Linked DNA regions of Neurospora crassa OR74A. The protein of the gene in region 3 purifies or fractionates together with the protein of the main gene of each other region. This does not show direct contact. Links are inferred from orthologs where the notes say so. Each region holds a gene or a part of one and is shown on either strand. Other genes may lie near its edges.

Evidence for each region.
Region 1: the proteins of NCU06678 (region 3) and NCU06540 purify together in Saccharomyces cerevisiae (affinity purification with mass spectrometry; 8 studies listed by BioGRID, with this or other methods). This does not show direct contact. The link is inferred for Neurospora crassa OR74A from reciprocal best matches to the Saccharomyces cerevisiae genes XRN1 and PAT1.
Region 2: the proteins of NCU06678 (region 3) and NCU10352 purify together in Saccharomyces cerevisiae (affinity purification with mass spectrometry; 5 studies listed by BioGRID). This does not show direct contact. The link is inferred for Neurospora crassa OR74A from reciprocal best matches to the Saccharomyces cerevisiae genes XRN1 and LSM6.
Region 4: the proteins of NCU06678 (region 3) and cyt-19 purify together in Saccharomyces cerevisiae (affinity purification with mass spectrometry; 3 studies listed by BioGRID, with this or other methods). This does not show direct contact. The link is inferred for Neurospora crassa OR74A from reciprocal best matches to the Saccharomyces cerevisiae genes XRN1 and MSS116.
Region 5: the proteins of NCU06678 (region 3) and NCU09512 purify together in Saccharomyces cerevisiae (affinity purification with mass spectrometry; 6 studies listed by BioGRID, with this or other methods). This does not show direct contact. The link is inferred for Neurospora crassa OR74A from reciprocal best matches to the Saccharomyces cerevisiae genes XRN1 and LSM3.
Region 6: the proteins of NCU06678 (region 3) and NCU06099 purify together in Saccharomyces cerevisiae (affinity purification with mass spectrometry; 5 studies listed by BioGRID, with this or other methods). This does not show direct contact. The link is inferred for Neurospora crassa OR74A from reciprocal best matches to the Saccharomyces cerevisiae genes XRN1 and YGR054W.
Region 7: the proteins of NCU06678 (region 3) and NCU01601 purify together in Saccharomyces cerevisiae (affinity purification with mass spectrometry; 6 studies listed by BioGRID, with this or other methods). This does not show direct contact. The link is inferred for Neurospora crassa OR74A from reciprocal best matches to the Saccharomyces cerevisiae genes XRN1 and LSM1.

Annotation. Positions count from the first base shown.
Region 1 is NC_026504.1:1,578,099-1,582,188, reverse strand, and holds the start of NCU06540 (topisomerase II associated protein), read left to right. Parts: upstream 1-1,290; 5' UTR 1,291-1,647; intron 1,648-2,079; 5' UTR 2,080-2,126; coding exon 2,127-4,090. UniProt on the Saccharomyces cerevisiae protein: Activator of decapping that functions as a general and active mechanism of translational repression and required for P-body formation. First decay factor recruited to mRNA, at a time when the mRNA is still associated with translation factors.
Region 2 is NC_026501.1:3,587,561-3,590,392, reverse strand, and holds NCU10352 (U6 snRNA-associated Sm-like protein LSm6), read left to right. Parts: upstream 1-1,263; 5' UTR 1,264-1,354; intron 1,355-1,451; 5' UTR 1,452-1,480; coding exon 1,481-1,592; intron 1,593-1,715; coding exon 1,716-1,829; intron 1,830-1,933; coding exon 1,934-1,956; 3' UTR 1,957-2,332; downstream 2,333-2,832. Other genes in the region: NCU09363 (hypothetical protein), read right to left, coding at 14-436; hsp30 (hsp30-like protein), read right to left, coding at 2,579-2,832. UniProt on the Saccharomyces cerevisiae protein: Component of LSm protein complexes, which are involved in RNA processing and may function in a chaperone-like manner. Component of the cytoplasmic LSM1-LSM7 complex which is involved in mRNA degradation by activating the decapping step.
Region 3 is NC_026505.1:4,232,173-4,236,179, reverse strand, and holds the start of NCU06678 (exonuclease Kem1), read left to right. Parts: upstream 1-1,207; 5' UTR 1,208-1,772; coding exon 1,773-1,777; intron 1,778-1,862; coding exon 1,863-1,956; intron 1,957-2,024; coding exon 2,025-2,331; intron 2,332-2,390; coding exon 2,391-4,007. UniProt on the Saccharomyces cerevisiae protein: Multifunctional protein that exhibits several independent functions at different levels of the cellular processes. 5'-3' exonuclease component of the nonsense-mediated mRNA decay (NMD) which is a highly conserved mRNA degradation pathway, an RNA surveillance system whose role is to identify and rid cells of mRNA with premature termination codons and thus prevents accumulation of potentially harmful truncated proteins.
Region 4 is NC_026504.1:2,294,457-2,298,384, forward strand, and holds cyt-19 (CYT-19 DEAD-box protein), read left to right. Parts: upstream 1-1,128; 5' UTR 1,129-1,368; coding exon 1,369-1,712; intron 1,713-1,775; coding exon 1,776-3,312; 3' UTR 3,313-3,837; downstream 3,838-3,928. Other genes in the region: NCU07671 (hypothetical protein), read left to right, coding at 1-376. UniProt on the Saccharomyces cerevisiae protein: ATP-dependent RNA helicase required for mitochondrial splicing of group I and II introns. Specifically involved in the ATP-dependent splicing of the bl1 intron of COB. Also required for efficient mitochondrial translation.
Region 5 is NC_026503.1:55,582-58,617, reverse strand, and holds NCU09512 (U6 small nuclear ribonucleoprotein), read left to right. Parts: upstream 1-1,225; 5' UTR 1,226-1,389; coding exon 1,390-1,512; intron 1,513-1,622; coding exon 1,623-1,715; intron 1,716-1,872; coding exon 1,873-1,950; 3' UTR 1,951-2,536; downstream 2,537-3,036. Other genes in the region: NCU09511 (hypothetical protein), read right to left, coding at 1-806; NCU09513 (GTP-binding protein 1), read right to left, coding at 2,842-3,036. UniProt on the Saccharomyces cerevisiae protein: Component of LSm protein complexes, which are involved in RNA processing and may function in a chaperone-like manner. Component of the cytoplasmic LSM1-LSM7 complex which is involved in mRNA degradation by activating the decapping step.
Region 6 is NC_026507.1:1,796,984-1,801,159, forward strand, and holds the start of NCU06099 (hypothetical protein), read right to left. Parts: upstream 2,801-4,176; 5' UTR 2,044-2,800; coding exon 1,459-2,043; intron 1,394-1,458; coding exon 1-1,393. UniProt on the Saccharomyces cerevisiae protein: Functions in the early steps of protein synthesis of a small number of specific mRNAs. Acts by directing the binding of methionyl-tRNAi to 40S ribosomal subunits.
Region 7 is NC_026502.1:2,980,984-2,983,990, reverse strand, and holds NCU01601 (hypothetical protein), read left to right. Parts: upstream 1-1,173; 5' UTR 1,174-1,437; coding exon 1,438-1,615; intron 1,616-1,689; coding exon 1,690-1,758; intron 1,759-1,883; coding exon 1,884-2,203; 3' UTR 2,204-2,507; downstream 2,508-3,007. Other genes in the region: NCU01599 (hypothetical protein), read right to left, coding at 1-304. UniProt on the Saccharomyces cerevisiae protein: Component of the cytoplasmic LSM1-LSM7 complex which is involved in mRNA degradation by activating the decapping step.

The DNA.
Region 1 (4,090 bases), on a different chromosome or scaffold from region 3:
AGGTAGTTAGGTGCGAACTAGCCTGTAATGAAAACATCCCAAAAGTGTCGGTATCTACCTACAACATCCTCAGCAACGTCCGCAAGTGGCCTAAATAATATCTACATACCTACCAGAAGCTATCGCATTCCCCGTTCCTGATGGTCGCTTGCGGTGCATTCCCCTGAGCACCTCAATGTTTCCGTCCGGCCAGGACCAAAAGATTGGCCGCGGGGGTAGGCGGCAGGGAAAGACATTAGGGTGCCCTCGGTGCCCCCACAGCTTCGTCGTCACCTGTATCCGCAGGTACCCCATTATTGCGGGCCGTGACGGTTCTAGCGTGGCCCTGTTAGTAAGGGACAAAAACCCCCTTGAGACGGGCGTCGTCAACTTCCAGGGGCACTACCTACCTCTACGACGACTTCAGTTCACATGTCGCATCCGTCAACGGAGGGGTATGTCTTGAGCTTCTTGATCCTTTTACCACGCTGAGAAGTGGCTGATTAGCTCATACTATGATACTTGGGTTAATATGATCTGCTGCCGGCCTGCTCCCTCCGCATTGCTCCTCCGATCGGAGTAGTTCTTCAAGATGGCGAAGAACACCGACTTGAGTGATGGCCATGATACCTCCCTCTCAAAAGAAACAACAGGGAAATACCAGGCCCCTGATATAATTCAAGTTCGACTGCATACTATGTACAGTAAAGTCACCTGTCAAGAAAACAGCCTTAAGATAGCCATGCCATGTTTGCCTCTGTCCATGTCCGCGCTTCCGCTTCACCTGCATCGGAATGGCGAATTCACATACTTAGAAGCACAGTCTAAACAGCTGCGTTTAGTCACGGATGTCACGGCAGCAAAATGGATGCCTGAGCTACTGTCCTTGCCCTTCAGCTTTCTTGCCAAAATCGATATCTCGAGCTTGAAATTTGGTTGTCGGCTTGGCGTTAAATGTTGACCATGAGGTTGCCGTCCCGTCCGGGTCTCATGTTGTAGCCTCCAGTTGATCACTGTTACGCATCACAACTAGCGGGCGGGTATCGCCGATTGGCTCATCGGATAAAACAACTTGCAAGACTGGAAGGATGGAATGGACATTCTTGCCGGCGGTTGAGGATCCCACAGCCCGGCAGGCAATGGGCCTCTGGTTGCCGCCCAACCGTGGCAATCACTCCCCCGGCCGCGGCCTTGGAAGTCCCATCGTCAGTCAACGAACGGCAAGACAGGAGGGTGGTGTGTCAAAGCGTCAGGCCTACCGCCGCCCGCCCACCTGTTGCCAGGCTCCATTGGCCCTCGGGGGCGATTGGTCCACAGCTCCCTGATCTGGCTTCTGAGTTGGAGTTGGCCTGACTTCATCCATCTGCGTCGGTCTCTTGTCGCCTTTTGCGCTGCCATCAAGCTACCACTCCGAGCAACCGCATCCACATCTTCACCGCGGCGCACCCAGTTGCGCTTCCGGTCGTTAGTTCACAGCCTTCTTTGCTTCTCTGTTTTAATATTTCCAAGCCGAGCGCTGAGTATTTGTTGCCGCCCTGACAAGCTCTGCTCCGCTCCTTTGCACGAGTCGCACCGCCGTCGACACGTCTCCTTTCCCTTCACGTCGCGCATCGCAGCATCATGGTGCTTGACCAAACCGATCATACCAACATCTTTACATATCGTTCTGTACGTTGTTCTTTGATTTCTCTACAGCGTGCTTGCAACCTCGGTATGGCAAGGTCATGGGATGAAAGTTGGGCTCCCATGTCCCAATTCTCCATCTTCCATGTCGTTGTTGTTGCCCCGCGCTTCAAGAGACAGCTCACCACCCCCAGCTAGGTGGAACATCCATCGAGTCGCCCCTCTGCTTGGCTCGGGCTGTTTGACCACTGGACCTTCAAGCCCTTCCTGTTTCCCCTTCCACCCAGAACTTCGTGAACCTGCGTCACGGCTGTTCCTTCTTTATACTTCTCGTCCCACTCACCAACCAGGGTCTCGTCTTTTGCTTTGCCCCTCATTTTCCTCTGTGCCCTTGCCAATCAGCCAAAGCTCAACATCGCACCCGGATTTGCGCCGCAACGATCTTTCTTCGCTCAACGTATACTGACCCTACAATAGTGATACCTCTGTAGAAATTTTCCATAAACCCAACAGGCATCGCCAATATGTCTTTCTTCAACTTCGACCAGTCTCGCCATAATACCGCCGCTCCCGGCTTCTCCCAGGCTCACGATCCCTTTGCCAGCCTAGCCAACCGGGACGAGGAAGCCGAAGAGATCGACTTCGAGGACACTTATGACGGCTTGGGTGACCAGCTGGATGAGACCGACGATGCCTTCAATGATGATACTTTTGGCGGCGATACTGGCGAGCCGGGTCCTGTAGGCAAAGACTTTGACTTCTTTGGCCACACCGCCAAGGTCGCGAACGTCATTGAAGAGGAAAATGTTCGTTTCAACCGCCAACAACCAGCTGCCAAGGCTCCCCAGCCTGTCGCGCAGCCATCGGCCTATACGCCCATCGCCGGACCCTCGTACAACTATTTCGCGCAGGCTCCAGTTAGACCTGCCAGGACCGGCTACGAAAAATACCACGAGCAGCCGATCGAGGATCTTCAGGTTGACGCTGCTCTCTGGGGTGTCGCACCCAAGAAGCAACCGCCGCCGCCTGCTCAACCTGCCGTCCCTAGCGCGCCGTCTGGGGGCCGCAAGATGCTGAGTCTTGAGGAGGTTGAGGCTCAGATGCGCGCCCAGGCTAAGGCGGCCACCCCATCTCCCGCTCCTCAGCATCAGCCCCATCAAATTCCACATGAACAGGCTTACCTCTACCAGCACCAAGCTCAGAACCAGCCGCAGGCTCACTTCCAAGCCGGTGTCGTTGAACCTCTGTACCATCAACCGCAGGGACATCCCATGACAATTCTTCAGCGGCCTCACTCGAAGCCTCCTACGCCAGCCCAGCCCTCTTCCCAACCGCCCGCTATTCAACAGCATCAGCAACCCGCTGTTCCTCAGCAGCCTACTCAGATCCTGCAGAACCCCAACCGTCTTTCAGGCGACGCGGCTAAGATCGGGCTGCCTGTTCACCCTACGCCTCCGTCCGGTCCTCAGTCCGCTCACCAGGGCCACAGGCAACAAGGCTCTCTTCCGCGACAGCCCCCTATGATTCTTCATCCTGCCCAGCTGGCTCAGCTCTCGGAGGAGGAAAAGGCTGCGTATCTTGAACAGGAAGCTAAGCGCGCCAAGCGCAACCACAAGATCTTCCAAATGTCTCGCGACAATGGTATCATGACGCCACAGGACAAGAATTTCATCACCCGGATCCAGCTTCAGCAGCTTGTCGCAGCCACTGGAAATCCCAATGAACACGGCACAGACGAGTCACTCGCCGAGGACTTTTACTATCAAGTCCATAGTCAGATCCAGGCTGGCCATCGCCAGCACCCCAGCCAGCCTCTGAACCAGTTCGCTCAGACTTATCTGTTTCAGACAGGAAGCCGTCAAGGAGGTATGCGCCGCCATAACAGGGGTCCTGAAAACCATATGCAGAGGATGGAACAACAGGTCCAGCGTGCTGTTGAGGCGGCCAAGAACAAGCCCAAGAATAAGCAGCTTGTTATTGAAGGTAGCTTGGGCAAGATTTCCTTCAGCAACGCCAAGACCCCGAAGCCGCTTCTCAACATCAAGCGTAACGACAGCGCCAGCGATGTGAAGAAGGCACCGCATCCTGTTAATGGCCGGGACAAGAAGGACGAACTGAGGGCCCTCGAGCTGGTATACACTACACTTATGAAGATGGAAGACCACGAACGCAACATGCCTATGGCGCCTGCCGAGGACGATCAAGAAGCTCTTGCCAAGGTCTTTGCATGGAGTAACGAGGGACAGGCGTTGAATGAGCAGCTTTGGAAGGCTCTGAGGGTGCAGGATCACGACCAGCCAGGCCGCATCCACCCCTTCATGGCCCTTCTCAGTTACAGTAAGGGCAAGAAAGCCATACCGCGCATCTTCCGTCACACGAACCACGAGCAAAGAATTACCATTTTCACACGCATTGTCGTGAATCTCGACCAACTCGACGTTGTCCGAGAAGCTCAGGTTACAACTGATGACATCCAGTTCAACGCCGC
Region 2 (2,832 bases), on a different chromosome or scaffold from region 3:
AGGTCAAGCATACCCAAAACATCTGGTCCATGTTCTTACAGATGCAGATATCGACCTGGATGTGTCGTTGCCTGTCCTCTCCAAGCTGGGGTTCGTCTTTGGGCCAGGGGATAGCAAGGTGTATCGAATTATTACATGGGTTGACTATGGAGCGCTCCGCGTTCAAGGCTGCCTTGATGTCGGCCGCAAGCTCCTCCACCCCTCTGGGAATACAACGCCGGGGAGATGTTGGAAAGACGAGGCGGGTCTCCATGGCCACGAGGATGTCGAGGTCTCCATAGTCCTCTTTCTCGGGGCCCTCGACGGGTCCGGCGACGCACACAAACATAGTGCGTAGGGTAGCGTGGCATGCGGCTTTGACATGATGGTAGATATGGGGCGGCATGCGTGGAGTGTGTAGAGGATCGTTACCCGAGGAGAACATCGAGCCACCCATGTCGCAACGATTTGAGCTATTCGATCGTGAACACTGGAAAAGAAAAGCTTGAAGCTACTGAGCAGAAGTCGATGATGGATCTTGAGAAGGCCTGTTAAGTAGCCGATGGATCAGCAAAAAATCTCGAGTACGAGATGTACGAGGCATAATACATAGGTAAGCCGGCGTCAGTGAAGCGCAAAGCTGCCAGGGTTGCCTTCATCCAAACAAGATAAGGCTAAATGCGTTCAACGTATAGATGGAATGGGCTCGATTGGCCTCGGCCCGTGAGGGATACTACTAAAACAACTGAGATTCAACTTGGAAGCTGAGCGGTGCCCGTTTGCCCAGGTTTCCACCTGCTCGACAACCTGGTCGGCAACCATTCTTCACCATCGTCATCGCTCTTGCAGCTATTCCTGAGCCCTCAGGTTCAAGGTATATCGGCATCTTGTACTCGTCGCCCCTGCCCTCAGATTCCCGAGAACTAATTGCGAAACCATTGCCAGGGAGTGAGATGATATCAATAACAAGATGGGTGGGAACATGGTAGCGGTTCGTTTCCATCGCTCGATTATTCTCCTAAACCATGTATGCACTATGCGAAGGATCTGTGGAAAGGCTGAGCGCTGTCACGGTGTGGCAGTGCCTATACTAATGTCGTAGGTACCTACGTATGTCAAAGCTTCCTCTAGGCGCTGCGGGCCGCCTGCAGGACTTTTGCCTAGGTGCAGTACGGGCCTCACGAACGTTGCCCGTTAACATTGATACCGACCAAGCCCTGATAACCTAACGTGCAAGAGCACCAACAATCGTCAAAAGAAGTACCTCTCAAACAACAAACATTCCTCTTTTCGACATCATCACTCCCTAATCTCACCCTCCCGCCTCAACGAGTGCAGCCGCTCTCATTACTACTCAGTTACTCGCTCAAATAAAGTCAGTCCCCTACCCAGCGCACCCAAGTCTAGAGACGTCGCTCACACTCCAAAGTCGTCCCACCGCTTAATATTCCACCTGCTGACACCTCTCCCAGCCGAGTTCCATCACACCAATCGATCAATTATGGAGAACGGAGCCACGTCTCAAAGTGAGGGTAAAGACCCCTCGGGTTTCCTCAGCGAAATCATCGGTAATCCCGTCACTGTCAAACTGAATTCCGGCGTGGTTTACAAGGGTTAGTAGTAGCTTTCACCTCGTCATTTATTGTCAAACTACTGTTGTCTTGCAACTTCTTCTCTCTCGGCAGACACATGCGGAAACTAACAGGACGCCTGGGTTGTGGCACTGCGTGGTGTAGGTGAACTGCAATCCGTCGACGGTTACATGAACATTGCCCTGGAAAAAACAGAGGAATTCATCAACGGTGTGAAGAGGCGGAGCTACGGTGATGCGTTTGTCCGCGGCAACAACGGTGCAGACCCCCCCCCCCCCCCCCCCCCCCTCTCTCTTCCCCCTTTTTCTTTTTTTCTTCTTCTCTTTTCTACAATGCCAGAGTAGCGTCTAATGTTTCTGTAGTCATGTATATATCTGCGGATTAAGGCGGCATTCCAAGCACAGTTGTGTGAGGGGGGAAGAAGCTATGATGGGACGTGAGCAAGCATTCATCGATGTTGGTACTAGGGAACACACGTGCTCGAAGTCCAGCCGGCTCAAGAGTCAGACTTTCAGCTGTTCCTCCGTGCTCAGGTCAGCAAAACAGACTGATCAATCTCACGTGCAGCAGGGGCAACCGCTCACTCAACAACGGGGCCACGTTTGTCATCACATCACCAAGTACGAACTGGGGTAGTTGTGTTCAAGAACGCAACTTTAGTTATTATAAAGGATCCTCTGTATTACATTGCCTGTTTGAATCAACTGCCGACGCTGGAAGCTGATGATCCGCAAACTCGCCCAGCGCCTTGCTCATCCTCCAAATCTGTCTCGAATAGTAAGATCCGCCAATTATCCCCAACTGCAATGCCAACAAGCAAACAGACCATGACAACAAGACTCATTCGTATTCGTTCACAGCTGTGCTCCAAATCAACCAAACCAGGCCGTCATACCAATGCGATGCTAAATGAAGTAAATGCTCCGTTGTCATGCTGTTAACACACCGACTCTCCTTCCAAGAATTCTTCCGAACCTTATCACAGACAAGAAGACCGTTCATCGTGTTTAGTTAATAGCAATGCGAATGGTTTCGTGCTTCTTGGCCTTGGGAACCGTGATGGTGAGGATGCCGTTGTTGAGAGAGGCGCTGACTGCGTTTTGGTCGACACGACCGGGGAAGTTGAAAGTCCGCGAGAACTCGCCAATGGAGCGCTCAGAGACCCAGTACTTTTCGGCTGGCGCCTTTGGCTTTTCCTCGGTGGTGGGTGCGCTTGCGCGTTGGGCGACTTGCTGATTGTTCTGGTTGTTGGCGCCGGTAG
Region 3 (4,007 bases):
GCTTGTAATTATATGCGTATTGGGCTATAGTACCCCTCGATCTTCCTTAGGTTATTTTTTTTTTCTTTTTTTTTTTTTTCTTTTTTTATATTATTATCCTTAGGTTATTATTTACAACTAGTTTCATGTGTTGTCTTTATTTAGAGCCGGAATTAAAGTTTTTTATTTTTTTTTCGTTATACTTTCTTATTGTTATATTTATATTAAGGAATATATATTTTATACTATTATATCGAAATAGTCCTAAAGGAGGCGTATTTGGGGTAGCCTGAGGTGAATATTCTTATTGGCTACCTATACGGTACCCGTACTCTAATTTTCTTATATACCTAGGTTAGAGTTTTAATTTACAATTATTAGAAAGGGAATAATAGGAATTACTTCTATAAAGAATACCCGCCACTTAGGTAGCTTAGATAAGTAATTTAATATAGCGCTTTCTCCCCTACTACCTACCTCTATCAATATAAGTGTAATATTGATTGAAAATTGCTGTGAAATAATTGTAAGGCTTTTGTTACTTAGAATAGATATTAATTGTTGAATAAATAAATATAATTAAACAATTATTATATTAATAAGAATATTAGCTTGCAATTAGCAATTTAAGTGAGTATATTTATTATGTTGTATATTTTGTAGTTCGGGTCGTATTGTTGTGGTACAGTTCGCTGTTGTCGTACTTTTGTGCGCTGTTGAACGGTTAATTCCGTTTTGTATACAATACCGCGTTAATAGTCGTTGTACTATTAATTAAAACTACGTATTGTAAAATAAAACCAACTTCAATACAACAATATTCAATTATCTAGTAGATTACAGTAAGAAACAATATTGTGTAAGGATGTTGTAGCCCACAACCCCTGCTCAAGCGTTTTATACTATAAAGGCCTGCTACGCCCACTTTTGTCAGACCCCCCATTCCCTCCAGGGCAGTTCCGTTCCGCTCGTCGAGGGCGGAGGCTCGCTTGAGGTTCGTTACCTTGAGGTTCAGTAGTAGCTGGTGCGGGGAGAGAGCTGACAGTGACAGCCGGGAGCCTGATGAGGTGGCGGAGCGCTCACTACTGGCCTGGCCTGGCCGGGCCGAGCGCTAGTACCTAGCTCTAGAGGTACCTCTACCTCTACGACCGACGCTCACGCCGCCCCCAGGCACACAGTCAACCCGCGTGGGGCAACGGAGGCCAACTAGAAACTGCAGTGTGTCACAGCCTGAACACCTAGCCAGCCCGGAGCCCAGGACCCGACACCTTCTCCGTCCCATCCACACCTCTGACGGACCTTCCACTTTTGTTTCTCTTGCGGTTCCATCTCGTAGACATCACCCACTTCTTCCTTTACCTCCGTCTATCTCGAACATAGGCCGCCAACGTCCTAGGCCACTCCTCGGATTCTCAACCTTTCCGCTTTTCTTAGCACTATAGTAGCTTCTTTTCCCGATTGGCGCTGTCGGTTGCTCCAAGGACACTCCTCTTCTTCCCTTCCATAGACAGCATCTTCAGTCTTGGACCTTGCTGCTTCGTCCCCCCTCGGTTTATTGCACCATTGCGATCCCTGGAGGCTTCGCTATCTAGAAACCCGGCCATTATTATTCAGTGCCGGCATTTGAACGACCAGCTTGACGCCTCTCCTTCGCCCCCTGACAGCAGTAACTAAGTAGACTCCCCGTCTGCGACATCTCCTGCGACCGCTCAGCGCGCCCCAATTTCAGACCTCCTTCGCAAACTTCTAGTAGTGTACACATCTAGTCCGGCACCACAGGCCACTTAGTCAACATGGGGTATATGACTCCCACATCAAAGCTCCTCCCTCGCCGTATACGCGCGCGTTGTTCAGGCGTGTGGCTAATACCCCCTCTTGTCCAGTGTTCCCAAGTTCTTCAGATGGCTCTCGGAGCGGTATCCCGCCATTTCTCAGCTCATCGCCGAGAACCGTATCCCCGAGTTCGACTGCCTTTATGTTCGCTGCTCCCTCCCGAGGCCTGATGGCTGTCTTGCGTTACTTGCCTAGCTAACCGGTTTGCTCAGTTGGACATGAACGGTATCATCCACAACTGTACCCATAAGGACACGAGCGATGTACAATTTCGCATGACAGAGGAGGAGATGTTCATTGCTATATTCAACTACATCGAACATCTCTTCGGGAAAATCAAGCCCAAAAAGCTTTTCTTTATGGCTATAGATGGCGTTGCCCCTCGCGCAAAGATGAACCAACAGCGTGCTCGTCGTTTTCGTACCGCGCTGGACAATGAGAAGGCTAGAGATAAGGCGATTCGTGAGGGCAAGGAATTGCCCAAAGAAGAACCTTTCGACAGTAACTGCATCACACCTGGTATGTCTGGCGCTGGTGCCCGCTTGAATGTTTTCCCCGGAGGCTAACTAGCTGCATAGGAACCGAATTCATGGCCAAGCTCTCGCAACAGCTGAGATATTTCATCCATAAAAAGGTCTCGGAAGACAGGGACTGGCAACAGCCCGAGATTGTCTTGTCTGGACACGAGGTCCCTGGTGAGGGTGAGCACAAGATCATGGAGTACATCCGCAATGCGCGCGCTCAACTCGACTATGACGCGAACGTCCGTCACTGTTTGTATGGCCTCGACGCCGATCTGATCATGCTTGGCCTCCTCAGCCATGACCCTCACTTCTGCCTTCTGCGCGAGGAAGTTACCTTTGGCCGCGGCCCGTCTAAGCATAAGGCAAAGGGACTGGAGGAGCAAAACTTCTATTTGATGCATCTCTGCATAGTCCGCGAGTACCTGGAGCTGGAGTTCCAGGATCTCAAGAAACCTGGAGCCATGTCTTTTCCATTCGATATGGAAAAAGTTATTGACGACTTCATTCTTATGGCATTCTTTGTCGGAAACGACTTCCTTCCCAACCTTCCGCGGCTTCACATCAATGAAGGCGCTCTTTCGCTCATGTTTAGGATCTACAAAGAAATTCTTCCGCGCGGCGACGGATATATCAACGAGGGCGGTAAGGTCAACCTCCAGAGACTCGGCCTGCTTCTGGAAGAACTCGGCAAGGAGGAGTATCGCTTTTTCGAACATGAACATGAGGATCAAAGCTGGCTTCGGGCCAAGAAGATGCTTGAAGATAACGAGGCAGAGACAGCAAAGGCAAAGACCAAGGGCAAGCTCATCGTCACCACGAACCAGAAGAATCTCTGGAAGCAGAAGATCAGGAAATTCCTTATGAATAGGAGCACTAATACGCTTGACCTCGGTACCGAGTTGAAGGCCGAGGACCGCAAGTTTGTCCAAGACTTGGCTGATACTGCTCACATTCCTTGGGCAACTAAGGAAGATGACGAGGGACACCGCCACCTAATCCTGTCCTTCCCCGAGAGAGACGACGAGTCGGAAGAGGACGAGGAAGCCCAGTCAGCCGTTCTCCGTATCATCAAGAAGTACGACAACGCCCAAGTCCTGGATTTAACTGCGGCCGACTCGAAGGCTGCCATGGAGGTTAAATACCAGCAAAAGTTCCAAGAGTGGAAAGACAAGTACTATGCCGAGAAGTTTGAGGATTGGACCCCAGAGAACAAGGAGGACGAACTCCGCAAGTTGACGGAGAATTACGTCCAGGGTCTTCAATGGGTGCTCTACTACTACTACCGTGGTATTGCTTCTTGGCCCTGGTTCTATCGCTACCACTACGCTCCCCTGATTTCCGATGTCATGAAAGGCCTGAAAGCCGACCTTAATTTCAAGATGGGTCAGCCGTTCAAGCCATACGAGCAGCTGATGGGTGTCTTGCCAGACCGCAGCAAAAAGATCGTGCCGACAGCATATTGGGATCTTATGACAAACCCCAATTCTCCCATCATCGACTTCTACCCAAGAGACTTTGAGCTTGACATGAATGGCAAGAAGATGGATTGGGAAGCCGTTGTCAAGATTCCCTTCATTGACGAGAAGCGGCTGCTTGCAGCAATGGGCCCCAAGAACGAACTTCTCTCGGACGTTGAGAAGTCGAGGAACGATTTTGGCGTCGCACTCAAGT
Region 4 (3,928 bases), on a different chromosome or scaffold from region 3:
ATGGGTCTGGTTCGTTTGGCCGAAACTGTTGTGTTTCTATGTTAGGATGGAACAGGTCAGTCAAGCTCACGGACAAGAGGTGGCGGGCAGTCTAGGTAGAGGCGCGTTGTCGGTTGCTGATGCCATCGTCTTTGTTGTGAACCAGGAACCTGTAATGGAGGCGGCGCGGGGACTTGGCAAATGGGTTTATGAGGGGGTTTCGGGAGCTGTGACGGATTTTGTGGCAATGAAGGTAGCTGAGAGGAGCGGAGGCAGCAACAAGAAGAAGAATGAGGAGGAGAAGGAGGAGGAGAAGGAGGAGGAGAAGGAGGAGGAGAAGGAAGGAGAGGAGGAGGTCAAGTTGAAGGCATCTTGGTGGGAACGATACTTGTGGTAAGCGATCATGAGTACGACAACAGCGGCAAGAATTATTGGGATAGCGGTATCAGATTGGAGGTATTGATTGGGACCTGATTGGAATAAGAATATGCCTCAGACCATCATGTTTACAAATGTCCAGTTTCCCACTTTCTCGGTGTTGAGTACTGTATGCCCATGTGTAGAGAGATCGCCATGAGACGGAACGCAAGAGTGTGACGACTGACCCGACGTTGCGAGATGAGCGGATCTATCTCATGTGAGGCCATGACGGAGACCAATGCTCTGAGAATCTGCTGGACAGATGCCACAGAGCCTGTCGAGAAGTCCAGCTGAGGTACCCTGAGCCGAAACTCGGAGCCGACTGGAATTTCATGTTATTCCGTAGCACGAAGCTGATATGAACACCTTTTGAACCTTTGCCGGCCTCTACAGCGTAGAGAAAGGAGATGCTTGGTGTATCGTTTCCTGCGTAGTGTACATAGACGAATGAGACAAGGACCAGGGAGGACTGAAGTGGGCAAAGGGGGAGGGTCCTGTTCGGCCCCATGTTTTGCGGAGATGATCGCTTTCCAGTGTTCCTGACTAGCGAATGTACCGTAAGGTAGCTCATCCCTATCTGAGGGTGCACAGGTACGCTTAGATACTGGGCCTCAAAGATGGGGCTCGGTGCGGAGTAACGGCTGATAAGATAAAGGCGGCTCATACGACAGGGATCTAACTTCAAGCTTCGACTTCGATAGCATGGAAATTTTTTGCTGTTGCAGGTACCAGGCCCTTAGCCACTTGCGCTCTCTTCCCATCTCTTGTTTTTTTTTCCTACCTTTTCTGCCCATCATTCCCATCACACTCGACGCCGACAACGGTTTGACCGATTTCTCTGGTTTGATTGTCCGCCTCTTATCGTCCCCACCCACAATTAATCCATCAACCCAAGTCGTTGACGGATCCGAGTGTGCGCCGCCATCTTATCAGTCCCGTCCCGTCGCGTCGCTGTAGCCGTCGCCCAACATGAGGACCAGCGTATTGCGCCAGGCCGGCCTCTGCCGTGCTGCCCTCGCTGCCCGCCATCTTCAGATCTCCTCCAAGCCCTCGGCCGCCCTCTTGAGCCAGGTCACCCGCGCCATCGCCGTTCAGTCCCTTCCCTCGGCCTCTCTTCCCCGCTTCTACTCGGCCGAAGCCACTGCCCAAAGCAACACTGCTGCCTCCAATGGCCTCGTTACCCGCTTTGCCGACCTCGCCGCCTTGGGTGTTCATGAGAACGTTGTCCGCGCCATCACTCATGGCATGGGCTATGAGAACATGACCGAAGTCCAGTCTATGACCATCAGCCCCGCTCTCAAGGGCAAGGACATGTATGCCTAGATCCGTCACCTCCATTTCCGCGCTTTAAACAGTTGCTAACGTGAAGCTTCCAGTGTTGCTCAGGCCAAGACCGGAACTGGCAAGACACTTGGTTTCCTCGTCCCTGTGATCCAGAAGATCATCACCCAAGATCCCGACCTCGCCCACAGGTTTGGTGGCAAGAGAGCTCGTTCTGATGACATTCGCGCCATCATCATCTCGCCAACCCGCGAGCTTGCGGAGCAGATCGGAGAGGAGGCTCGTAAGTTAGTCAAGGGAACCGGTATCATCGTCCAGACTGCCGTTGGTGGTACCCAGAAGAACGCCATGCTGTACAAGACCCGTCAGCAGGGCTGCCATATCCTTGTTGGCACACCCGGTCGCCTGAACGATTTGCTTTCCGACAGCCACAGCGGCATCGACGCCCCCAGACTCTCGACCCTTGTTCTCGACGAGGCCGATAGAATGCTCGAAGTTGGCTTCAATGAGGAGCTTCGCCAGATTATCAACTACCTTCCCGATCGCAAGGTTCTTCCCCGCCAGACTCTGCTCTACTCTGCCACCATTCCCAAGGATGTTGTTGGTCTCGCCAGAAGCTACATCGACAAGAACAACTTCGAATTCGTCCAGACCGTCAAGGCCGATGAGGTCCTGACCCACGACCGTATCCCTCAGTACATCGTTCCCTGCAAGGGTTTCGAGAACATTTACCCGGCCATGCTGGAGCTGATCGAGAAGGCACTCAACGAGTCCAGGACTAACCCCGAGGCTCTTCCTTTCAAGGCCATCGTCTTCTTGCCTACTACCGCTGAGGTTATCATGGCCAATGCGATCTTCAAGCGCCTTCAGTGGAAGTTCAAGCACATTCCCAAGACTTGGGACATCCACTCCAAGCTCACTCAGAACGCCAGAACTCGTGCCGCCGACGAGTTCAAGAACGCGCGTACCGGTATCCTCTTTTCCTCGGACGTTACCGCCAGAGGCATGGATTTTCCCAACGTTTCCCACGTCATCCAGACCCACATCCCCCCCAACAGGGAGCAGTACATTCACCGTCTCGGACGTACCGGCAGAGCCAACAAGCCTGGCCAGGGCTGGCTTATCGTTCCCGACATCGAGCTCCACGCGGCGAGAAGCAGACTTCCCGGTCTCCCTATCAAGCGTAATGACGAGCTCGAGTGCGCTTCCGTCAACGCCGCTGATTCCGGTGCTGACAAGCACGCCAACTTCCAGCACATCCTTGACGCGGCGTCCAGACTCCCTGAGGACCTCTTCAAGGACTGCTACTCGTCCTACCTCGGTGGCGCTCTCCAGGGCATTGATCGCCAAGCCTTGGTCTATGCTCTCAACGACCTCGCCAAGTTTGGTTGGGGCTTGGAGGAGCCTCCTGCCGTCCGCCAGAGCATCATGAAGCACATGGGCCGTGTTCAAGGTCTGAGAGTCGAAACCAGAGAGCATTCTATGCGCCCCATGGGTAGCGGACCTGGCCACCGCCGTGATTTCAACTCGCGCGGCCCCCGTCGCCAGTCCGATGATCCCTTCGAGAATGCCCTTCACAGGGCTCAGGATCTCGATCGCCGTCCCACCCGTCGCCAGCAGGCCAGCTTCTAAACTAAGAGCTGGGTCAAACTGTGCATTGGCGACGAATGGGTTATTTGGTTTTTCCCGCTGAAAGAAGATGCTTGCGGGGTTTTGTCTGCTGAGCGAGACAGACACCTTCTCAAAAACCGTGGTATCGGGTCCCCCATGTATTTCCTTTCCGTACTGTTCGACATTGATACCATCTGTACTATAGCATAATTATCACGGGAAAAGCAAGGCCGGAGTTTCTTTTTGTTTCCATACATTGGGGTGGCTTGTTGTCTATGGAAATGTTATGATAGACAGCGCGGGCAACACACAAAAGAGGGGTAGTACAGTCTTTTTTAGTTCCGTGGTCACAAGAGAGGAGAAGAATTTTTGTTCAAGAAATGGGACTGGGACTGGGGCACACCTAGACATATTCGGGACTGGAGCTGGGGGGCTGGGGGCGTACTTCTGATTTTCATTTGTATAAGGAAAAGAATTGGGGCCATCTCGACTTTAGAAGATTTTCGTTCACTGTTTTTGAAAATTCCATCATGACATATTCACTGATCTCTTCGAGTTTCAACATGAATCGCACATAGACATTTTCGTGTTGTAAGATGCGAATCCTGGTAGCATGCTCCGATATCTGTCCGTTGAT
Region 5 (3,036 bases), on a different chromosome or scaffold from region 3:
AAGAGGTTTACAGGCTTGACGCGGAAGTCATGCCGGTTGTGTTGGGTATACAACGGTTCCGTCAAGAACCGGGCCTTGAGAAATTCGGCATACAGGTCCGTCTGGCGCTCCCACATCTTTTCAGAGACGTTCATGTGGAACCAGATCTTGCGAGCCAAGAGGGGGTCCGAAATCGATCCGGCGCATCGCAGCAGGACTTTGTAGTCGGACAAAAGAAGGGGAGAACCCGAGCGGAATCGACGAAAGGCAGCTTCGTGAACTAGGGGGTAAAGGTCGGTGTTTCTTTTTCTGACGCCGTAATTATTGACCAGAGCCCCCAAAGGGGACCAATCGGCCATGGCTGGGTCGACCCATATGTCTCCTAACGGATCTTGGTCTTTGTGAACGGCTTCGACGGGGTCAACGGAGCGGAGAAGTTCGCTGAATGCTGTTGGTGGAAGTTGAAGGATCTCGAGTTTGTTCTCCTTGAAATAAGTGAGCATTTTGTGGGGTTGTCTGAAGGCCGCGGTGAAGCCGTCTATCCAAGGCGACCGTTTTGTCACAGGTGGCTTCTTTGCGACGACGGGTCTTGCGAGAAGGGTTCGGAGGAGGAGGAGCTCATCTTGCTCGAGGGGCTGTCGAGGTCCGTCAAGTTGGTGACCGAATCCATGGTGGGCAAAGTTGCCTGGGTATGGAATTGCTGAGATGGGTTTTGCTGTTTGGGTCGTAGAATGGGGGAGCTTCTGGAGCTTGTTGACGGCGGAGGCTAGTCGTCGAGATTTCGGAGAAGGAACTCGAACCCCACGACAGGAGAGAAGGGCAGCCATTGGGTTGCAAATTGGGGTTGACGGCGTTGTACACCACCCCCATTGGCGACTTTCGTCCGCAATTGAAGCTCGGCCGTGGTGTTGAAGGGGAGCTGAGTGCCCTGGTGGGCGTGCCTAGGTACTAACTGAAGTCGAGGTGTAAGTCAACCCCGCTAACTCAAAGAGGAGAAGTGCGATGGATCTCGCGATGCCCGCCTTTGCAAATCCGGGGAAGGCCTGTTGTCACTTTGGGCGCCTGTTCCTGCCAAGACCTTGCCCAGCCGAAGCTCTGGCATAAGCGTTTAAGAACCGGTCAAGCTTCCACTTCGGAAGCGGTCAGTGCGTCGGGCTGCTTCAGTTGCTCTTGGCATGCGACCAGCTGGCACTGACCTCAATTCGCACCGAAGCGAGCGCTTCCAATCGGGCAGGCATGGAAACCCCCCGCCGTCCGTCACTGGCACTGGACTCACTCATCATCGTTCCAGGGCGCTGCAGCTGAGGTCCCCGCCATCAACAACAGGAACACAACGCCAACTTCATTTTTTTTTCTCTCTCTTCACTCGTTATTTATTTTTGGCTCTTTTGATATCACACATCACACAAAATGGCCGACGCAGTAGAAGATGCCGGCTCTGTTTCCGAGCCCATGGACCTCGTCCGCCTTTTGCTTGACGAGGTTGTCTGCGTCAAGCTGAGAGGTGATCGGGAGCTCAAGGGCCGTCTGCACGTAAGTCCACTCTTATGTTTACATATCCCCTTTTCAGTCGTCACATCTTTCCCGTTACGCCTCACTCACCACCACCCGAACTCATTGCTAACTCGGATACTGTGATGTAGGCCTACGACTCCCATTGCAACCTTGTCCTCGGGGAAGTCGAAGAGACCATTTACGTCGTGGATGATGAAGATACCGAGGAGGATGACCTGAAGGTATGCCATCTTTTCACTTACCCACCGCCACTCTCTCGTCAAACCACCTCTCACCCCTTTCCCATTATACCCACCCTCCTTCCCCTTTCCTTCTCATACCTCGTTTGTCTTTTTTGCTTTCCCTTTCCGTCACTCTCATATACTAACAAAAAGGCAGACCATCTCCCGCAAGTCCGAAATGCTCTTCGTTCGCGGCGATTCCGTCGTGCTCATCTCGCCCTTTACCCGTTCTTGAGAAGAGGCCGTGTATGTGGAGCGACCAGTTGACGAGCACGATTTCCGCCACCGCTACGGCATCAAACCCTTCTCCGGTGGCCCGCTTGGCCAGGACCGGTTGCCCATCGGCAGGTGGAACTTATTGCACGTGGCGGATGAGGCGCAGTTTTGGGAGGGGGTAGATAGGGAAGAGGAGGAGCATTTGGAAGAGAAGGGAAAGGAAACGGCAACGGCGGAGGGTTCTGGACAGTCAGCAGCCGAAGGTTTGTCTCAGTGGGAGTTGGACATGGGTCGTCGCTAAGCCTACCTACCTAGGTGGTGGCTACCTCAAGGTCGAGAGGGGCGGCGCTTACAAAGGAAACCGGTAACCAAGCTTCGGGAAGAGGATAGGAGAGAGATACAAGGAGAGAAGTTGGCTTGAGATGTGACTATCACCGTCATCACATCACGTTCATCGTTTGTCGTTAGAGCCGAAAGATAGATCACGGCACAGATATACCATTGTTATTCCCGGCCATGGAGCATTGATAGCCAGGCAATCTCCTTCCTCCTGAGGAGGCTGAAAAGGATCGCTCGTACAAAGAATACAGTACGTTGCTCAAGAATTTTCATATGTTCATTTGAGAATACCTGTAGGTCACTCATCTTCCACCGACACATACAAAAGCCATATCGTCCATGATACTACTACTACTACTACTCCTACTACTACTTGAATATCTGCAAGTAGTGGGTCACCACTAGTTCTGTACTGTGCCCTGACTGCGCCGCTCCGTATATGAGCCATCAAAACGAGGAGATGAGGCCATGCATCAAAGAAAGTATAAAGAAAAAAAGGTAACGCGGCCCCCAACTTGGGTCATCACAACATCATCTGCCCAACGCCAAATCAGCACCAGGTGCCAGGTCACTAAGCACCAACCTTCACCTCGTTACCGCCACCCTCATGTTTGACATCTTCAACGCCCGCAGCCACCTTATCACCCCCTTCACCTACATTAACCCCGCCCAACGGCCGTTCAGGATCATACCCCACACTCTTGACGATACCCAACCCCTTGGTTCTGCCTTCTCTGAAGAGAAGTCTGTCTCCCGGGACTAGGTA
Region 6 (4,176 bases), on a different chromosome or scaffold from region 3:
TGGCGATCTTCTTCAACTGGGTATCCTCCAACTTCTCACCACCAGCATGTCTCATCTCGAGATCCTCAATAGCGCGGATCTTCTTCTGAAGAGACCTGATCTTCTTCGCATTGGCGCTCTGGGCAGCCGCTGCGGCGGCGTCAACGACTGGGGCAGCCTGTTGAGCAGGGGCATTGGCCTGGCGCACGTTCGAGCGGCTGCGGTGGTTGTTCTGAGTACGGACAGCCAGGTTGTTGCTGCGCGACTGGCTGCGCGAGTGGTGACGCTGGTGGTTGCGATCGGGGCTGCGGCCGTCGACAGACTCGCGGGGAGGGGCAAGACCACCCTCGTTAGGAGTAGTCGCGCCCTCGCCCTGTGCCTGGCCCTCCTTGGCCTTCTTGTTGCGCTTCTTCTTGTTCTTCAAGGCAGTCTTGGACAAGTTCTCATCGTCCACAGCGGCGCCGGGAACAGAAGGTCTCGCTGGCTCGGCAAACTCGGCGCCAGGAATCTGGCGGCGCGGGCGGCCGAACCCATTAGGACCGACCTGAGGCACGCCATTGCTAACCGAGTGGGCGGCACCTCCCTCGTCCTCACGCTTGAAGTGAAGAGGAGTGGAAGAGCCACGGGCGCCGGGCGGGCGGTAGGCACCGACGGGCTTGGAAGGCGTCTTGACAGTGCCAAGGTATGCCAAAGCCGAAGGGTGAGGAGTGGGCACGGGGTGCAGCGGGTCAACGTTGGGAAGGTTGTTAGCAGGAACAGGGCGCCAGATAACGTTGTACAACTCAACCATGTCCTCGTTGTACATGATACCGCCACCAACGTGCCAGAGCTTGATGCCGTTGTCAACACGAAGACGGGGAGAAGTAGTGGCCGTCAAGATGTAACGGCTGTCGGGAGACCAGGTGCAGACACTGGGGTTACCGCTTTCGATGGTGGTGATCTTGCGATAATCCTTCTCAAGGTCGTAAACATCGATCTGACCAGCCAAGTTACCGAAACCGGCAACCAAGGCAAACCGGCCAGTAGGCGAGAAGATGATGGTGTTACGGGGGCCAAGAGGGAAGGAGTGGGTGGCGACGGCACGGTGGTTGAAGATGGTGGTTTTCGCGGGCATGTAGCCGTATACGACACCGAACTCCTTGGAGTTGGGGGACCACGACACATCGTGGATAGGGCCCTCCTTGTCAAGAGTGACGCGAGCGTCGAACGAGCCGTTGGCGCTCAGGAGGTACATGTTGGTCTCGCCGTAGTAGCTTTTGTTGGACTTGTCAACCTCTGTTTGCGCCAGCACAATCAGAGCAGTTCCGAGCTGGTTCCACTTGAGCTGGACTTTGTCGGCCTTGAAAAAGGTCTTTTGCGAAATCGGGCTGGTGAACTGGGGAACGTTGAAGACCTTGACGGAGGCGGGATGTCCCTGTAACCAACAGTTAGACGTTGATATAGAAAAGTGCGATGCATACGGGAGATCAGGTAACGTACCTTGCGCTCTGGGACGAAAACAGCAACGTTCTGGTTCTTACCGGGCGCGAGGGCAAAGTCGGAGACGCCCTCAACGCGCAGCTTGTTCCACACGGTGCCGAGATCGTTGCTGTTGTAGAACTGGACCTCGTTGGTGACGATGCGCGCGCAGAAGCGCTCATCCTCCGTGTACTGCAGGTTCCAGCCATTAGCAGACTTTTGGACGAACTTGCCAATGGGCTGCTTCTCAGCACCATCAGCGAGCTCCTCAATGGTGCGCCAGATCTTGAGATTCTTGGTAGCATCGCCATTCTCATCCTTGGCGGGGCGCTCCCAGGTGCTCAAGTAGGTACCGTGGGGGGAGAAGCTGAGTTCGTAGACGGCAGGGATGGGCAGCGAAGTCAAGACGTGGCCGACGGACGCGTCGACGATGACGACGCCCTCGTTAGTGGCGTAGGCAAAGTAGCGGCCGCATCCCGAGTAGACACAGCACCGGAGATTCCCTTCGGGCTTGGTGAATCCAGGAAGGGCTTCGTAGACAGGGTCGGCATCAAAGACGCCGATGGCCTTCTGGGTTCGGTAGGCGAGCTGCAACGGATTGGCCATGACTAGCGAAAGTCACAGGTGATCGCGGTTTGCAGAAAGCGGTGTGGGATTCGTTTCGTTACCTGGCTCCTTTTCCCGGGGGACTGGAGTCGTCGCTGCGAGCAAGAGGCGGACCTTTTTTTTTCGGTGTTCGAAACGGGTCACGCTTGGTGTCGAAGCTGCGAGAGGCGGAGCTCGTAAGCTTTGGTTGTGTGTTGGCGAAGGCGGAGTTGGGGGAGTATCGATCTGGCGCAACACAACAATGGTGATTGCGCAAAGGTAGAAACTCGACTGGCAGAAGCAGAGCAGAATTCGACAGTGCAACACAAAGCGACGCTTTTTCTTGCTGAGTCCTAGGTGGTGGTGGAAAGCGACTCAGGGACGGGGGGGCGGGAGGCGGAAGATATCAGATCTTGAATCGCAGGTTGCCAACGAAGGGAGACCGTGACGATGGGACAACAATGCGATGTTGCTTTGGACGGCGGCGAGGAACAAAGGGCACACGCCGTGGTGGAGATCCAAGAAGAATAAAAATCGACCGAATTCAGGAACGTGAACGATGAAGAGAAGCACCCTCAGGGAAGGAATTGGCAAAGGCGGTGCGAGTGTGGTTGACGGGGGGGAGAGGAAAAAAGAGGGGAGAGGTGGGTTAGGAGAAAGGGAGGAAAAGTAGGACAATGGAGAATGGCAGAGAAGGTGGACGCGAAGAAAGTTACGATACGGACGCGGTTCCACAGGTATCGTGGTTTCGGTTTTTTTGGTTTTTTTTCCATATCTCTTACCTACACTTTTTTTTTTCTTTTTTTTTTTCTTCCTTTTCTTTCGACATGTCACTGCAGCATCGATATTCAATTGGGCATTGGCACGGGCACTGGCCACCCGACCAAACAGCAGACGGGAGCTAAACAATGTGACGAGGACTGCACTAATGGGCAATATGACCGTAGAATATACACTTAAAAAAACACCTAGAGATAGTCCAGCAAGACGGCGCGGACGAGTTGTTCGCCTTCCGTTTGGGCGATCTCTAACTTTTTTGGAGGCTTTATGCATTTCGAGGTCGCGGCGGTTGTCCGTTCGCTGATTCAGACCTCTGCCACACGGACCTCTATTCTAGATTGGCAGCGGAGGACCTCGAGGGGACCGAACATTGAACAGCGGAGCCCCGCCGTGGGGCCGTGTTCCCTTCAGAGTCTCGGTGACATTCGGTGACAGACGTTAGTGACCGTACCCGTAAGCCCCGTAGGGACCAGGGCGAGCCTATCAGATGTTAACGGGCCCTATCACGGCGGCCAGCCGATCTCCAACACCCCCAACAGGTTGCGGCCCCCGGTGTTCTAGGCTTTGTTGTCCCTTGTTCGAGCCGCGGCAAGGGCCAGTCAGCGGCGCGCCAAGTTACGGCCAAGGCCCCTGCCCGATTTGCCTTTTCGTCAACGTCAACGTCAACGACATAGGACCCCGACGACGCTCAGGACAAGAGACATCGGACCGGGGGCGACGTCCACCACTGCGTTCTCTGCTCAACTTGCCATCCTAACAGACCTGAGGTTATCCATTTTTATGACCTGTTCCATTCAGGTGAGGTTTCGGCACCACTTTACTCGATGCTCTATGGCACGAAAGTTACACCCAAGTGAAACTACCGAACTCCAGCTTGGTCGTTCCTGGAGAACATTTTCAGAATACACGCGCCATCACTTCCGCATGCCCTGCCAAATGGAGGATCTGTGGGTAAAGGTAGTGATACCCTTCTTGATGGCTGGTGCTGTCCTTCATGTTAGGTACCTAGGTCTATTCTACTACCTCTAGGTTCAGACGTCCAAGCAATTGTGATACACATCCTATGATACCAGGAGAGCCACAGTACGGTCCTTTTCGTCTCTTCGCGAGGTACTATACACTCACTACAAACGATCCTACCACGCGGTCCATGTTGTTTGCTTTCCATGTTTTCCGCTTGCCCCCCGTAAACAACGGGCCCTTTTTTTTTTTTTTTTTTTTTTTTTTTTTTTTTTTTTTTTTTTTTTTTTTTTTTTTTTTTTTTTCCTTTCATGTTTCTATCCCTCTATAATGCTGTTTCCCCATATAACACACGGCAGTTGTTTCCAGCTTCAGTCAAAGCACACCAACACACTCTCGCTGAAGCAATCCGGG
Region 7 (3,007 bases), on a different chromosome or scaffold from region 3:
CGCCATTGAGCTGGTTGAGTCGTCTCTGATCCTCTTCGAAGCTGTCCAAAGGTCGATCGACATAGGGGTCGACTCGCATGACCAGACTGGTGTCAATCTGAATCTTTTGTAGTTGTTCGCGAAAGGCCTGGTCTCTGTCCTTGCTCCATTTGTCGGAAAGGGTTGCAATGCGTTCGGCAAGCATTTGGCGTCGCTTGTCTCTCTTAGACTGTGACTGTGACTGACCGGGAGGAGGAGAAGCGTTGGAGCGGCGATCAGGCCGCCCGGAAGGTGCGTCGGCCATGGTAACGTCGGTAGAAGCCATGGCGAAAGGGGGGTCCTCGTAAATATGTTTCTTGGTTGCCTGCTTTTTTATTGTATCCGGACCAGGTAAGACCAGGCGAGGCAAACCTCAAGGCGAGGCTGGTGGGCGGAAAAAAGAGAGCCCCAGTGCAGAGATTTGAGGCTAGAGGACGAGTAAGTCAAAGTCGACTGGACGACGGGAAGAGAGCTGCCCTCGTCCGCCGATGGACGGGCGCGCAGAATGGTTACAGCGCAAGGGCGAGAGAAAAGGAACGGCTTCTGGTGGTCGAAGCGGGTTTGGACATAGTCCTCATGGGATCTTTTGTGTATAATTGTCGACAGCGAGGGTACGTATGGTGCAGATGGAGAAATATGGAGTGGCAGAATGAAATGGGGTTGACAGCAGGTTGAGCCGAAGCAGAAGGACCGGAGAATGCAGTGCGGCACTACCTAGGTAGGTACAGGCAAACCAGCACAGGGAGGTCAGTGCAGGTCCCGTCGGCTCATTGTCCGGCCACCGGGTTGAATAATACTGTAGGTTGCTGCACAGCGCTTGGTTTCACCTTGCCCTGGCAGTGTTTACTGACTAGACATACAGTCCGGTGATCATGGAAGCTCCACCGCACAGGCGCTGTACCTAAGCGAGAGCAGTCTGCCGCAGGAAGCAGCGATAGGTTTGTATGAGCCGAGCTGATTGCTGAAGTGGATAAAGCTGAGATTCGCTCCGTCTTGTGGCTCAACCTGCGATGTGGCTGACTTGTATCATGTACATATACGCAAATTGCCTGCCGGAAGGAAGCTGGAATCATCCACTAAAAGCTTATGGCAGGAGCCGTGTAAGTAGAGTGGTAAAAAGATCTGTGCGACTCGGGCTGTCCTTCAAGGAACACACTTCTCGTCGCTGCCTCTCACCGTGAAAGTGGGGTGAACTGCACAAACAGCGGAGCAAGCCCAGGGCAGCCCAGGGCAGCAGCTATGTACTAAGGTAGGTATGTACGCAGTAGGTAGGTAGTAGTATGTGCGGGCAGGCAACGTCAGGGCGGGCAGCTGTCCCATCGCATCATTGCATCCCGCTTCCCATTCAACAACCTTGAAGACACCCCCCGAAACTTTACAGATGGACTAGAAGACATAGGCCATCTTCAGCACACAACCATGGAACACCTCTCGATAAACGATCAACCCCCACCGCCGCCCTTCCCTCAGGGCCCCGGCCAGCCTGGACCCGGCATGCCCCCGCCGGGACTCCTAGGAGGCGGCCGTCCTCCCCAGCCCCAGCAGTTGCCCGCGCAAATGTTCACCACAGCTGCCCAACTCCTCGACCTGACCGATAGTAAGAAGCAATATTGTGGACATATCTTTTGGACGGGAGGAACTAGGCTGACACGAGCGGCGGGGTACCAACAGAGAAGCTAATGGTAGCATTGCGCGACGGACGAAAGCTCACGGGCATCCTCCGCAGTTGGGATCAGTTTGGTATGCCTCCATGAACCTACCTCTCTCTTACAACACATGACCACCTATACACGCACGCACGAACGAGCACGAGTATGAAGAGGTAGCTGTGTTAACGCGAATCCACTTTTTTCCCACCATACTAGCCAACCTAGTACTACAACAGACAAAGGAGAGGATATTCGTGCCTCCAGGCACGCAGTCACCCACCCAGACCAGGGGGCTCTACGCCGACGTCGACCGGGGCCTCTTCGTTGTTCGCGGCGAGAACGTTCTCCTCATGGGCGAGATCGACCTTGACCGCGACGACGACCCGCCCCCGGGCTACGACCCTGCCGACCTCGAACTGGTGCAGACACTAGCCAAGCAGAAAAAGGCCGAGGAGAAGGCCAAGGAGAAGCGCAAGATCAAGAAGCTTTCCACCATTGGCTTCGAAGGGGAGAACGTAGGCGAGGCGCTTCTGTGAATGATATATGAATCACCCTCAAATTTTACAAATGGGACGGAAAGAAAGAGACGGGAGGAGAGACGACCAAAACTTTAACTTGTTATGATTTATACCTACATACCCCTGAAGTGGAAAGGGAGTGTCGAAGGAGGGAATGGCATGAGCGATTGGAAGCAGAATATTGTGAAATGCTATCCACTCAGCTGCGACTTCATACGAATGGAAGACCGCATGAAGCCTTACACCAAGGTCGGCCCAAGAAGACACCAAGTGTATTTTACCGTTAGAAAATTAGCAATTCGATGGATTGCCTCGAATCGAACCTGGCCACTACTGACTATGATCATGTTGGGAAAGGATAGCCCAGAGAGATATCCACGACTAACATTCTTTCCTAGGACTAGTCACATAGCCGGCACAAACCCATCGACTTCAACATCCTCCCACCCACCCGCCATCATCGATAACTACGCCGAGCTCGGGAAATGAGGCGTTGGCACTCATGACCAACCAACCGATTACCCAGCATCATCAAACTGAAAGATGATATGCAGCAAGTACTCAACCACCTGCTGCGGGGGTTGCGTTCCACATGCCAACAAAGGGGGGGTTGAACTTGTTTCGGTCGGAATAGGGAAATCCAATGTACCTCACGTTGATCCACTGAGGGTTCTGTATAAGCCGCTGGGAGATGTCGTTGTGGGCTGGGTTGGGCTGGCTGTAGGCCATCACTAGGTCTTTCGTAAGTCCACCACTATAAATCTGTGAAGTCGTCCATGAATGTATGGTTGGGCGTGGTGGGTAAACTGAAGTTGTACCAGC